Linked DNA regions of Coturnix japonica. The protein of the gene in region 2 interacts with the protein of the main gene of each other region in a pairwise test. Links are inferred from orthologs where the notes say so. Each region holds a gene or a part of one and is shown on either strand. Other genes may lie near its edges.

Evidence for each region.
Region 1: the proteins of VTI1B (region 2) and TRIM59 interact in binary tests that used the Homo sapiens proteins (3 or more experiments, as listed by UniProt). The two-hybrid records come from large-scale screens. The link is inferred for Coturnix japonica from reciprocal best matches to the Homo sapiens genes VTI1B and TRIM59.
Region 3: the proteins of VTI1B (region 2) and PTPN5 interact in binary tests that used the Homo sapiens proteins (3 or more experiments, as listed by UniProt). The two-hybrid records come from large-scale screens. The link is inferred for Coturnix japonica from reciprocal best matches to the Homo sapiens genes VTI1B and PTPN5.

The regions. Positions count from the first base shown.
Region 1 is NC_029524.1:19,665,723-19,670,010, forward strand, and holds the start of TRIM59 (tripartite motif-containing protein 59), read left to right. Parts: upstream 1-1,469; 5' UTR 1,470-1,579; intron 1,580-3,222; exon of another isoform or gene 3,223-3,382; intron 3,383-3,454; exon of another isoform or gene 3,455-4,288. UniProt on the Homo sapiens protein: E3 ubiquitin ligase involved in different processes such as development and immune response. Serves as a negative regulator for innate immune signaling pathways by suppressing RLR-induced activation of IRF3/7 and NF-kappa-B via interaction with adapter ECSIT.
Region 2 is NC_029520.1:27,589,006-27,593,096, reverse strand, and holds the start of VTI1B (vesicle transport through interaction with t-SNAREs homolog 1B), read right to left. Parts: upstream 2,871-4,091; 5' UTR 2,865-2,870; coding exon 2,531-2,864; intron 564-2,530; coding exon 505-563; intron 308-504; coding exon 116-307; intron 1-115. Other genes in the region: retinol dehydrogenase 12, read left to right, coding at 2,918-3,012, 3,381-3,499. UniProt on the Homo sapiens protein: V-SNARE that mediates vesicle transport pathways through interactions with t-SNAREs on the target membrane. These interactions are proposed to mediate aspects of the specificity of vesicle trafficking and to promote fusion of the lipid bilayers.
Region 3 is NC_029520.1:16,692,502-16,696,078, forward strand, and holds part of PTPN5 (tyrosine-protein phosphatase non-receptor type 5), read left to right. Parts: intron 1-1,341; coding exon 1,342-1,502; intron 1,503-3,188; coding exon 3,189-3,302; intron 3,303-3,577. UniProt on the Homo sapiens protein: May regulate the activity of several effector molecules involved in synaptic plasticity and neuronal cell survival, including MAPKs, Src family kinases and NMDA receptors.

The DNA.
Region 1 (4,288 bases), on a different chromosome or scaffold from region 2:
TAGAGATAGGACATGAAGTGCCCTTCTCGAGCTGTTCCATAGCAGAATGCTGCTCTGTGATATTGAGATTGTCATCATGCAGTTGGTAACTTCTTAATCCCAGGTCAGCTCTAATAAAAATAAACATGCAGAGGTGGGGTGTACATTAGCCTCATTTCAGTATTTTGAAGTACAAAGAGCTGCTAAGCCGTATTTAATATAGTAGAGGTTTAATAAATCAATGAAAGGTCAAAAGTTAATTTCTAGTGTAAGCTATTCCAGGTAGGAGCTTAATTCCAAGGAGCAGCATTGTAAGACAAAGAACTGCCTGTGGTTTTAGGGCTGGAATTAGCTGGTTTAACTAGGAGGAATAGCTCTGTGAAGGAAACTAAGCTTCATCTGAACAAACAGCCTAAAAGAAGTTGACCCTATTTCTTTCTCTCCCATTCCTGGATGTGGAATAGCCCTGACTGTGTGAAGGCTTTCAGTCTAGGAGGGCCACTTGTTGGATGCATGAGGCTGTGTCAGCTGGTGGATCACAAGTAGCCCTGGTAAGTTGTCTGTTCCTGCTGTTTGGTCATGCAATGAGTTGGTCTTGTTATTTAAATTAAAATCAAATTGCAGCTGTGATAACTTAGTCCTGAGTAACAGCAGCTGATGTCCTCAGTGAGGAATCCTCTTCTACACAATCTCATGGGGTCAGAAATGCCATGGATGTGGAAGGAAGAAAGCAGAGCCGTGTTTTCTTCCTGAAAGCAAAAAAATCTGCCTGTATTTGTTAACAGTTCCTATCGTATAGTTTATTGCTTAAACTGCTGAATTACTTCTGCTGTTTTATAATTAAGAATGTCTTCATGTTAATACTTGTAGGCTTTGCCACTTTTAACTATAAACGTTTCCTCAGCTCTGCATGTCACCAAATTACTGGCAGGAATGCCGGTCACAAGGCTGGAAGCAATTACAGAAGTCATGCATCTGGATCAAATAGACTTTATGAAAGGGAACTTAGTAGCAGAAAATGTGTTGAGTTTACAAACTCTTGGTAATAGCGAGTTTTAGCCACTGCCAGAGTGAAACTCTGAAGGTTTATTGAAAGAGTTAACGTTGCTTTAGTACCTACAGAAGAGTGGCTGGAAACTCAATTTCCATAAAGAAATGCCATTATTGGTTGTAATGGAGTCGCTGTGTTTATTCTAACCCGTGACAACCTGGCTGAAGCTGCCTGGGTTTCTCCTCAGGTGGGTCTTACTGAGCATCATGGCAGTGGATGGGGCCACCTGTGATCGAAGGGAAGATGGTGATTGAAATGATTCAGGCAGTGCAAAGAACTGCTAAAACCCGATAATTCCAGCTCAGATTTGTGGCGTGGTGTACATGAGCTATCTGTATTTCTTCTGTCAGACCATTGTTAGCACCCCGGGTGCAGTCGTGCTGTGTAAGCAGCTCCGTTCCGCCTCCCGTTCCTGTGGTGGTCGCGCTGTTCCCGCCCCCAGCGCCGACCGTTGACTTTCGAACGTCGCGGCCGTTGCGCTGTAGCGCATGCGCAGCTGTGCGCGCTGAGAGGAGCGGCGGCGCCGTGCGGGGCTGGCGGTGCGGGGAGGTGAGAGGAGGCGGCCGGGCTGCGGGACGCGAACAGCGGCAGCGGGAGGCGGGGGGGCCGAACCCGCGGTGTCCCGGGGCTGCGGGGCTGCGGGCCGGGCTGGGCGCTGTGCCGGCTGCGGCCCCGGGCGGCGCTGAGCGGCCGCGTTCCCTCACAGCCCCGCCGGGTGCCCGCAGCGAGCGCGGCCGGAGGGCGCAGGCGCCGTTCTGCTGGTTGGCCCTCAGCGATCCCTCCGTGTGCCCGGTTACCTCGGTGGTTGTTGATGTATTTCTTTACGTTGGAAACCTGCTCGTTTAGGAACTACCTCGCACAGCGGTGTTTGGGGCGGCTGTGGCCCGCGGGAGGGGACCCCGGGCTGGGGCTGTGTCAGGACGCTGCTGTGGGCTCCTCCGTCAGCTCGGGGGGCACGGAGCTGGGCACAGAGCTGGGCTGATGGAGCTGGGCACAGAGCTGGATACAGAGCTGGGCTGATGGAGCTGGGCACAGAGCTGGAGGTGGCCCTTCCTGCAGCAGGGGGGTTGGAGCCTGATGATCCTTGAGGTCCATCCATCCCAGGCCATTCTGTGGATACAGAGCTGGGCTGATGGAGCTGGGGCTGGTGTCACAGAGCTGCTGCCACGCCGGTCGGGCTGTTGGAGCACGGCGTCGTGTCCCGGCTTCACTGGGATGGATAGTTGGAAGCTGTGGCTGTTGGGTTGCGCTGCCGGCGCTGTTACCTCCATCGGAACCGAGAGCTGCTCGGGAGGCGCCGCTCAGCCCCATGAATCAACGCTGGGGCTGCGGCTCAGCCTGTTCTGTTTTCCGAGCACTCGTTCTGCCACGCTTCACCACGACAGTGACCTTTAAGTGGGAAATATTCCCTGTGTGTCATTTAATCTCTTATATTTCTTATCCATAATGCAATCTTGGGCTTCTACACTAGTGATAGAGGGGGGTATTGTGGACCTCAAACATTTCTGTTACTGGTTTAGCTTGGGTGCATTGAGCTGTTGGCAGCACCAAACTCCCTGGGTCTGACTGGAACTGGCTTAGGGTCACAGCTACCTGGTGCCAAATTCACCTTTTAAGAGTTTACCAGCTTGTTACAGCTGACTTTTGTTGTAGAGTTCCCTATTTACCCACAGAGCTGTATTCTAGATGTAATAGTTACTGCACGAGTGTTTGTATAATTAATGAGACGAGCAGTGGCTGACTCTCTAGGTCAGGAATGCAGCGTTGTCATTGAAAACACTGCGTTACTTCGTTCCATCCAAATTAAAGCTTGCTTTTAGAAACAAATAAATTAGACCCTTGAAGTCTGCACAAAGAATGTCAAACTAATGAATTTTAAAGCATAGCTGTGGCAGGTATGCTATATTACATGCTTTTATCTCACGTACAGCATTGCTAATGACAGGAGGGGAAGCTGACGGCTGCTCTGTGGTTCTGTTGCTACAAGCGTTCAGACACCCAACGTGCTCCCGCCCTGGTTACACTTCGGATTTCAACTTGTCTTCTAGCTTGTAATTTGCTTACACTGAGTGGCCCATCCGTGATGAATGCGTGTGTATGTACATACATTTGCTGCCAAAGCTCTGGACAGGAAAACATTTCCCACCTTCCTGCCTTTTATTTCTTCCCTTGGAAACAGTTTTTCTCGTTCCTTGCTGAACTGCTGCTGGCTCTGGATCTCCCTTCCTTGGCGCTTCCTGTCTCTGGCTGCCACCTCCTGCCTTCCTTCCACTGCTGCTGATGTACAGTCTGATTCCTCCTCTGCTTCTATGAGAGCAAGCAAATACTTTGCAGTTAAAAGCATCTTTGAAGGTTATTTTTATCTTGTACTTTATGTCGATGTTTATTGTTTATGAAGAACATTGCGATAGTTCATTTGAAGGGAAATTCAGCCCTGGACTTGAGGAAAAAATAATGTTTGCAAACATAAGAAGCTTGTGTGTTCTGTAGTTGTATTGGCTCCATGTGTGTAGGAGAAAATAATGATGATACCGTGAAGGATTGTTTTTCCCAACCACAAATGAAAACTTAAAATTCAGCAGAGTGGAAGGGACGTCCCCCAAACTGACAGTGTCTATTAGTGCACACACGTAGGTGTATTTCTCATAGTAATTAACTCCCAGAAAATAATGTATGTGGCTGGGGAATGGCTCTGGTGCACTTAGTTAGAAATGCTGGTGTCCTTCAGCAGTTCTGTTCCAAAGGTGCTTCTAGAAATGGTATCTCTTCCTTTTGGGTGCCTTCATCCATCGTGGCCTGTTAGAATAGTGGAGTTAAAATGAGCTAGCAGGTATTTTAGATTAACTGGCAGGAATAAAAAATGACCTGAGGTAAGGTAGATAAAGCTAAATGATATTCAGAAGATAAGTTGATTAAAGTTGACTTATTTAAAAAAACCGGCACATAAATCTCCCCTTTAACTTGAACTTGGTGCTTTGGGTAGCGATGGCCTTTAACCATTAGATTTCTGTGTATTGTGTTTGCTTTTCCGGGGCAGAAGCAATGTGATCGTTGAGCACTTTCACTTTGGAGTGTGCCGAAGTATTGGGGTGAGAAGAAGAGCTGCACTTCATTCTGCTCAGCCCGAGCAGGTTCTGTGCTGGAGCTGATGCAGCTGATGTGTTGTGATTGCTGCTAAATATCTTCCTGCCCTAGAAAGAAGAGGGGCCACTTCTGAGTGCAACATGCCCCTTATGGCGCTGCTGGCGAGCTGTGTCC
Region 2 (4,091 bases):
CACAGGCAGTTATGCAAGAAAGCAAGTGGATTAAAGTAGAAACACTGTAAGCAATACATCTGAAACATTATCATAATCACAGAAGCTTTAAATACAGTTTCTATCAGATGCTCACACTCTGTTCATTTTCTGTGGAAAAGATTCCGTATTTCATATCCCCTTGACTTCCAGGGCCCAGTCCCAAATCTGTGCTTCTCATCTCCCTCTGGAACATGGAGAGGTCCCTTCTGTATGCCCGGATTTTGCTCATCATTTGATTGCGGAATGGTAGAGGAGCATACTTCAGTTCTTCTTCCATTTCCCGGAGCTTAAAGAAAAGAACACTTATTTTAAAGCATCACATTCATTCTTATAAACAGCTGTACCCAGAACTTACACTAGATGAAGGGATTCACATATTATGTTCACATAAGAACATTAAAGTAAAACTTGGGATACTGTCCTTTCTAGGGCAATCAACATATTAAGTGGCCAGAAAGGCCACAATTCCAGGCTTAAACTTACCGTTTCATTTGCTTCACGCTGCTTCTCATCAAACTCCCGAATCAGCTTTTTCTTCTCCTCTGCACAAGAAAGAGCAACACGTGAGATAAACCCCAACAAAACTAAAGCAGAACTTGAAATCCTGATTTCCAGCAAATCGGGTTTTTGCATCCTAGCAGTTCACTAAAAACAACCACTCAAATAAGACAAGCACCCTGCAGAGCTCTGAGATGGAAGACACCATCAATACACCAGATCAGGTTGTCCAAATACTTCTCTTTTCTGGAACCACACTGGATGTTAGATCAAAACACCTAAAACCAGCTCATCTTATGGATGTGCCGTGGCCACACCAGGGCCCTTCCCTTTCAGTTCAAATCCCCATTAAGCCCCTGAGTTTGACTTGTAGTGCACTTAAGATAGATAAGTTTAAACATAAGTTTAGCGCTGCAGGAAATGCTGATTTATGGGGTTCCTACATTGACTATCCTCAGCTCCTCCCCTGCTTTTCTGCCACGTACATTTGTGCTGATTCAACTGCTTGAACAGCCAGGCTGCTAGCAAGGACACGGGCACACACAGCAAGGAAACAACTTTCTAAAGTCACCATTCTGCTCACGCAGGACACTCCACTCCTTTGGTGAATGTAGTGCCCTCTTAGAACAACTGCTGCTGTCTCGAACCCATTGAAACCCGAAGCAGTGCTGAAAAAGCAGTATTTTACCCTCTTTGGGTGCCCACAATTGGATCAGTACAGCACTGCACTTCAGCCACAGAAACATTACCCACATGTTTCTCAGCATCTGTGAGATCTCATTTAAACCAACCGAAAAACAATCAGTTGAAAAAGGCAGTTAACTGTTTACTCAGAGAATGGGATCTATAGCAGAAACTGATCAATGCCATTTAAAATGCTTTCTTATAGGTTTGGAAGGAAGAAAACACTTGCTTCCAGACCTGAGAATTTATTAGCTTGTAAGATAACATTTCCACATGGAAGATGGTCCAACAATGACACATTTTGTCCTCCCTGCAGTCTGGGAAGTTACCAATCATCTCAAAGGAGTACACAGGACACCATCTGTTGTCCCACAGACTTTTCATGACAGTGTGAAAAATGAAGACCCATGTGGGCATGGACAGCAAAGAATGCCTTACAAATGCCTTCAAAAGAGAGATAAATTCCTGACTTCACATGAACTCCCTTGTTATACTTCCTTGGGAATATCACAGATCTGGGGACCTGGCAATAGTTTACTTTTGTCCACAAAACTGACAACCCTCCTTTCTGCAAGGAAATTTCTGTTCTTTGAAATTCAAGCGTTGTGGGGCATTTTTCAATATGTGTGAGCACGGTCTCTCCCCATTCTTTCCCCAGCAACAGGGTTGAGTTTGTATTTCAAGGCAGCAAAATAACCCTCACCCTACCCTGCAACCTCCTCCCATTAATTGTATAGAAACGATGCCCAGATTCCAGGGCCCTTCTTCACAAAGGGGCATCCCTTCCTTTATGCTTTTCCTTCTTGGTGACTGTCAATAAAACAAAGGCAGCTTTGAATCACAGAACTGCAGGGTTTGGAAAGGACCCCAGGGGATCACCCTGTCCAACCCACTGTTAAAGCCAGTTCCCTGCAGGTCACCAAGGAAAGCATCCAGGAGGGTCCTGAATATCACTGGAGGAGACTCCACAGCTTCTGTGAGCAGCCTGCTCTGCCTTCTGGCCTTGAAAGCTGCGGCCCATAGTTTTAAGTGCCTCCCACTGTACTTTCTGGAAACGAATAGGATGGTGACCCTGCATTTAACCCGGTATTAGACTGAACCGGGCAGCCCGGACACCGCACCCCTCACACCCAGCCGGTGCTTCCCCGCCTCCGCGCCCACTTCCCGTTCTCCGCTACGCCACAGCCGAGCGCTGTGCGCCGGGAGCGGAGCCAAACGAGCCCCTCGGCTCGGGCAGCGCCGGGCCGGACCGCGGGGCCTCGCCGCGCTGCGGGAGAAACCTCCGCGAACCCGACGAAAGCGCCGAGCCGGATCCGCCCCGCCTCACCCGCCGCGCCGCCCCGCAGCCGCTCCGGCACGGCGCGCAGCTCCCCGTGCAGCCCGCGGAAGATCTCGTGCAGCCGCTCCAGGTGCTCGGAGGACGCGGGGCCGCGCTCCGCCATGGCGATGGGCCGTACGGGGCACTGCCCGGCGCCGCTTCCGCCATCGGCCGCGAGGACCCGCGCCTGCGCAATGAGACGCCCCGCGCTGCCTGACCGCGGCACCGGGGCAGCCCAGGCGGAGCGGGGTCCTGGCGGCGCGCTGCCCGCTGGGAGCCGTAGTCGCAGCGCCGCCTCGTGGTGCTCCGCCCCGCCCCGCCCTGCACCGCCCATTGCTCCCATTGGGGCGGGGCGGCTCCTCCGGGCGCGATCAGTGCGGGGCGGACGCGGCGCGGATGGAGCCGTCGGCGATGCTGAGCTGCTGGGGCGCGGTGCTGGGCGCCGCCGTGTCCGTGCCCCTCGTGCTGCTGGCGGCGGCGCCCTACGTCAGGTGCGGGGCTGTGGGGCGCCTCGGGGGGCTCCGTGCCGCCGGGCTAAGCGGCTCCTTTCTGGGGGTTGGAGACATACAAAGGGCTTTCGGGCAGCGCTGTTACGGCGGTGTGCGGTTGGCGGCAGCCGGCTCGAGCCGCTCCCGCGGGGGGTCCGGCTCAGCCGAGCACGGGGCGGTGGGAGCCGGTGGCCCGGGTTCGCCCCACGGCGCCGCGCCGACTCCATTGGCCGCCGCGCCGGGAGCCGCGCTGTCAGCCAATGGCAGCCGTGGCCCCACCGGAGCGGGCGGAGCGGGCGGAGCGGGGTGTCGCGGTGCCCGGTCCGATGTCGGGCTCGGAGCCGCCGTCGAGTCCCGCCGCTCTCTTGCAGGCGGTACGTGGCCGGAGGGCGCTGCGGGTCCGCGGCCAGGCTGGACGGGAAGGTGGCGGTGATCACGGGCGCCAACACCGGCATCGGCAAAGAGACCGCCAGGGAGCTCGCCCGGAGAGGCAAGTCGGCGTCACGCTGCGAGCGGGTGCGGCTGATGCGATCCGGCACCACGCGTCGTGGTCTGCAGCCTGGGGCCGTGTTTCTAAGAGCCACATTCTGAAGGTCCTTCAGACAGGGCTGTAACCCCTGAGGTGCAGTTCCCCAGTTCCCAGCTGCATTCACTGCTTGAACCCTGACCCCGTGTCTCAGCGTGTAGAAATACTCAGCGCTGTGGCCACCTCGGGAGGACCAAGGAAGTGCCTGGAGTCACAGGGCTCTACCTTGTTTGGGGATGGGAAATGGCTCAGATCCGCTCATGGTTCAAAACTGGCTTAAATGTTTTTTGGTAACTAGCAGGGCAGTGAAAGTACCCAGCAATGGCTCTGGCTGGAGTCCAAGCAACCCTGCGTGTGTAGGCCCTAGTGCTCCCATACAGCCACAAATACAACCTGGTCATACCAGGGCTGCAGTGCACTCACCTCACCTGGGAGAAGCTGGACAGAGGCACTTCAGATGTGCAATCTCCCTGTCATAAAACAGGTCTGAGCTGGCTTGGAGCTAACAATCTACAACAAGAGTTGTTGTGCTTGTCAGCTGCTCCCCTGGACTGAA
Region 3 (3,577 bases), about 11 Mb from region 2:
AAATCTCATGTTGGGACTGAGACAGTGGAAGATCTGTCACTCATGCTTTTAGTGAAAGTAGCAAGGAAAAAATCATGGTTTCCAACAAACAGGAAGTAAATAATAGTTACAGGTCTGCTGCAGACTTGTCCTGGCCTAAAATAGAAATTATCCCAAACGTACAGTGTAGCAGCAAGAACAATATACAGCTTAATTCTGATGGAATGCTGGTAACTCACAAAACTGGTCACATTTTAATTGTGTCTTAAGCCAAAGGGGAAAGTTGATCCATTTGAAAAAGAATCTTTAATTAGATAATTTCCCTAATCTAGATTAACAGTGAAGCTATGCAGAGTTTCTCCAGCCCAGGAGAAGGATGGAAGGTGGCAGTCATGGAGCACTTTCATCATCCATTGACTGAAAGTCATAGGGACTTTAGAGTCTAGATGACAAAAACTATTTCCAGTTCTCTGTGTCAAATTTTCTGTTCTCCTCCCACCCCTACCCATCCTAAACTTATTTGGCCATGTGTCTGAGGAAAGGTGGAAACTAACACATAACTTTCTGGATCTTGTGAAGATATTTTGTGTAGTCCTGTGCCAAAGGATTTATACAAGGACTGAATGAGTAAGACAGATTCCTTGAGCTGTATGTTACTGTTTGGCACCTTTAGAAATCATGCAAAAGGATGTCACTTTGAACAGAACCAGAAGCACTGAGTGCTGCTTGGCACTCAGAAAAGGTAAAAGGCACATTCTCTATATTCATGACCGTGCTTGGAACTCAGAGGGAGGGAATCAGACGTATCTCATAAGAAGCCCCGGACTGCAGCTAGATATAATTCTCGCCTTCCAGTGTCTCTGAATCTGTCACCATGTCTAAGAGAGGAGTGTAAGTGACAGGAAACTGGTAAGAGTCTGTCTGTCAGAAAAGAGAGAAAAATAATTTCCTATCTCTTATCCCTCATCTAGCTAGCTAGCTATCAAAGACAAAGATATGGTTCCTGGCTCTCCGCCTGTCAAATACATTATGAAAGCAATTATGTCACAAGTACAGCTCCAGCTCTGCTGAATGAATCTGTCAAGAGGGAACAGACTGTTTTGCACACAGCTCTTGGCGCTAAAAGAGCAGAGTACTTCAGGGAAGGGGGGGGGGGGATTTATTATTTTTTGAAGCAGTTTGCTGAAGTGTAGATGCAGTCTTTGAAGTCCAGATTTCTGTGCTATGTGGTTTGTCATTTGCATCTGTTGTTTCCTTTAGCATAGGTTTACTCATCTTATTCTGAAAGTTTAATTTTCAGCATGACTTTAAAATTGGAATTTTGAAAAAACCTTTGTGATGTTTGTCTTAACTGCACTGCAGAAAGGAGAAGAAGTCAGAAACCTGAAACATTACTGGTACACATCTTGGCCAGACCAGAAGACACCAGATCAGGCTCCTCCTCTGTTACAACTAGTATTGGAAGTGGAAGAGGCAATGCAGAGTGCAGAAGAGAAGAACGCTCCAGTGATTGTTCACTGCAGGTGAATAAGCATTGTATGCAAACTCTAAGGACTGCTTTGTTTGCATACAGTAGCCTGCTTTAGATGCTGCCATGTTGAACCATTGGTCAGAGATGTGAAGGAGATCTGGTCCAAATGCTTTAAATTTTCTTGGAACTTCTAAAATTTAATGACATTTTTCTGTTGCATGCAGATACAGATTGAGCTGCAGACAGAAGCTGTTGTTGTTGTTTGCTTAGTTTTAAGTAACAACCCCCTTGTTTCATTTGCTTTACCAGAAATATATGCATTTGATGATCTTAAAAGTGCCACTTTACCAAAACTAAACATACTGTGGGTGAAACTGAGTAGGAAGATGCATGAAAGCAGAAAAAAATGAGAACCTAAAATAATAATATATATACATTTTCAAAGAGGACTAAAAACAAGTCTTGTTTTGCTAGTATTTAGGAAGATTAAATGTGATTACTTGAATACCACAACTCAATTCTCAAAACAGTTACTGCAGATAAATAAAGAGAAGTCTGGTATGTAATGTACTAATGCTATCAGGATAATTTTCCATAATTTCAGTAAAAGTACATTTTGCCAAACATGCCTTTGGAGTTTCTGTAAGGAATTTCACCTAATTTTGCATGACATTTTCTAGGAAATCTTTAGATCATGTAAATATTACCATCACAGTTACTTGAAGACTGAGATCAGCTCTTCAGGAGTACACTCATCCAGCAAATCTCCATTGAATTGCCTCAATCATTCTGTAATAATAATTAAAATAATTCTAATGTATCTGATACTAGTTTGGTTTTCCTAACAACTATAAACACTAAATTAAAAGTCTATGCACTCAAAGAAAAATAGTGTTAAAAGAGTTTGCTAGCAGCAGCTCTCTGCAGGCTCCATTGTTGCTTGTATATTTGTTGCCAGTGTTTTTGTGTTGTGACTTGAGCACAATTTAAATGAAAGCAGGATTTCTTACAGGTAATTACAATTATCTAATGTATAAGAAGGTCTGTCAGAATTTGCTGTTTAGTTTTTTATAAGGTGATAAGAATACACAGCTTTCATAGCACTGTGCCATCTCAGACTCAAATCGGTTCTGGTCACATAGTAAAGGCTGAATCAAATACAAAAGTGTTCACGAGATGATTTTTGGTGCATTTCTTATATCTCTTTACTAATTCATAGAGTTACTAGAATGCAGATTTGAGAGCAAATGTAATCATACTTATCATATTGCTGTCAGCTCCAATAATTTAAGCTAGAGTTTTTAACTGTACATATGAATGAAAATAGTTTCCAAGAAGCTGTTAGGGTTAAGAATCTCAAAGCAAAGGTTGCTCTCAAAGCAATGGTTGCCTTCAAAGCACGTCTAACCAAGGAACAGTACTTAACTGTTTATTTTTACAAGTTCAATGACATTACGTGAGGCAGTACCCACATAGTCCATTTTTATCACTCTATGTGCAGTAGAGAAAGCTGAAGCCTTTCTGTGTGAGTGGCTCACAGTGTGAATGGTGTTGTTCCATTGGAGCTATTATCTTTCCTTAGTTAAGGCTTCATATTCAAGAGCACCCATCCATCAGAGTTTGGAGGGAGGAAAGAGATAATAGAGTTTGACTGTGGTTGAAGGGCATTTGTTTAACATGAAAGTTCCAAAGCCGTTCTAACATCTTTGCTGCCTCTCTCTCCTTTTTCCTCCCTTAGTGCAGGCATCGGGAGGACGGGCTGCTTTATTGCAACTAGTGTCTGTTGTAAACAGTTGAAGAATGAGGGCATAGTTGACATATTGCGAACAACTTGCCAGTTACGGTTAGACAGGTAAGAAAACTTGTTTCCTTTCCAGAAAAAGAAAAATGATAAACTTTCTCTTTGCTTAAGGAGGAACAAATGGGAAGTGGAGAGGAACAAAGGCCGATGAAGGCTTAGGGGAACATTCTTGGAAGGAAGTAGTCCTGTTCTAAGTAGTTTTGTCTTGCTTATGTTAGTAGAGCAGAAAACCTTAACAAATATCCTCAGCAACTGAGTTAGGTTCGTGGTTGGCATTAAAATCTACACAGCTGTGTGGACTTCAGTGCCATGAGAGATGACCATTT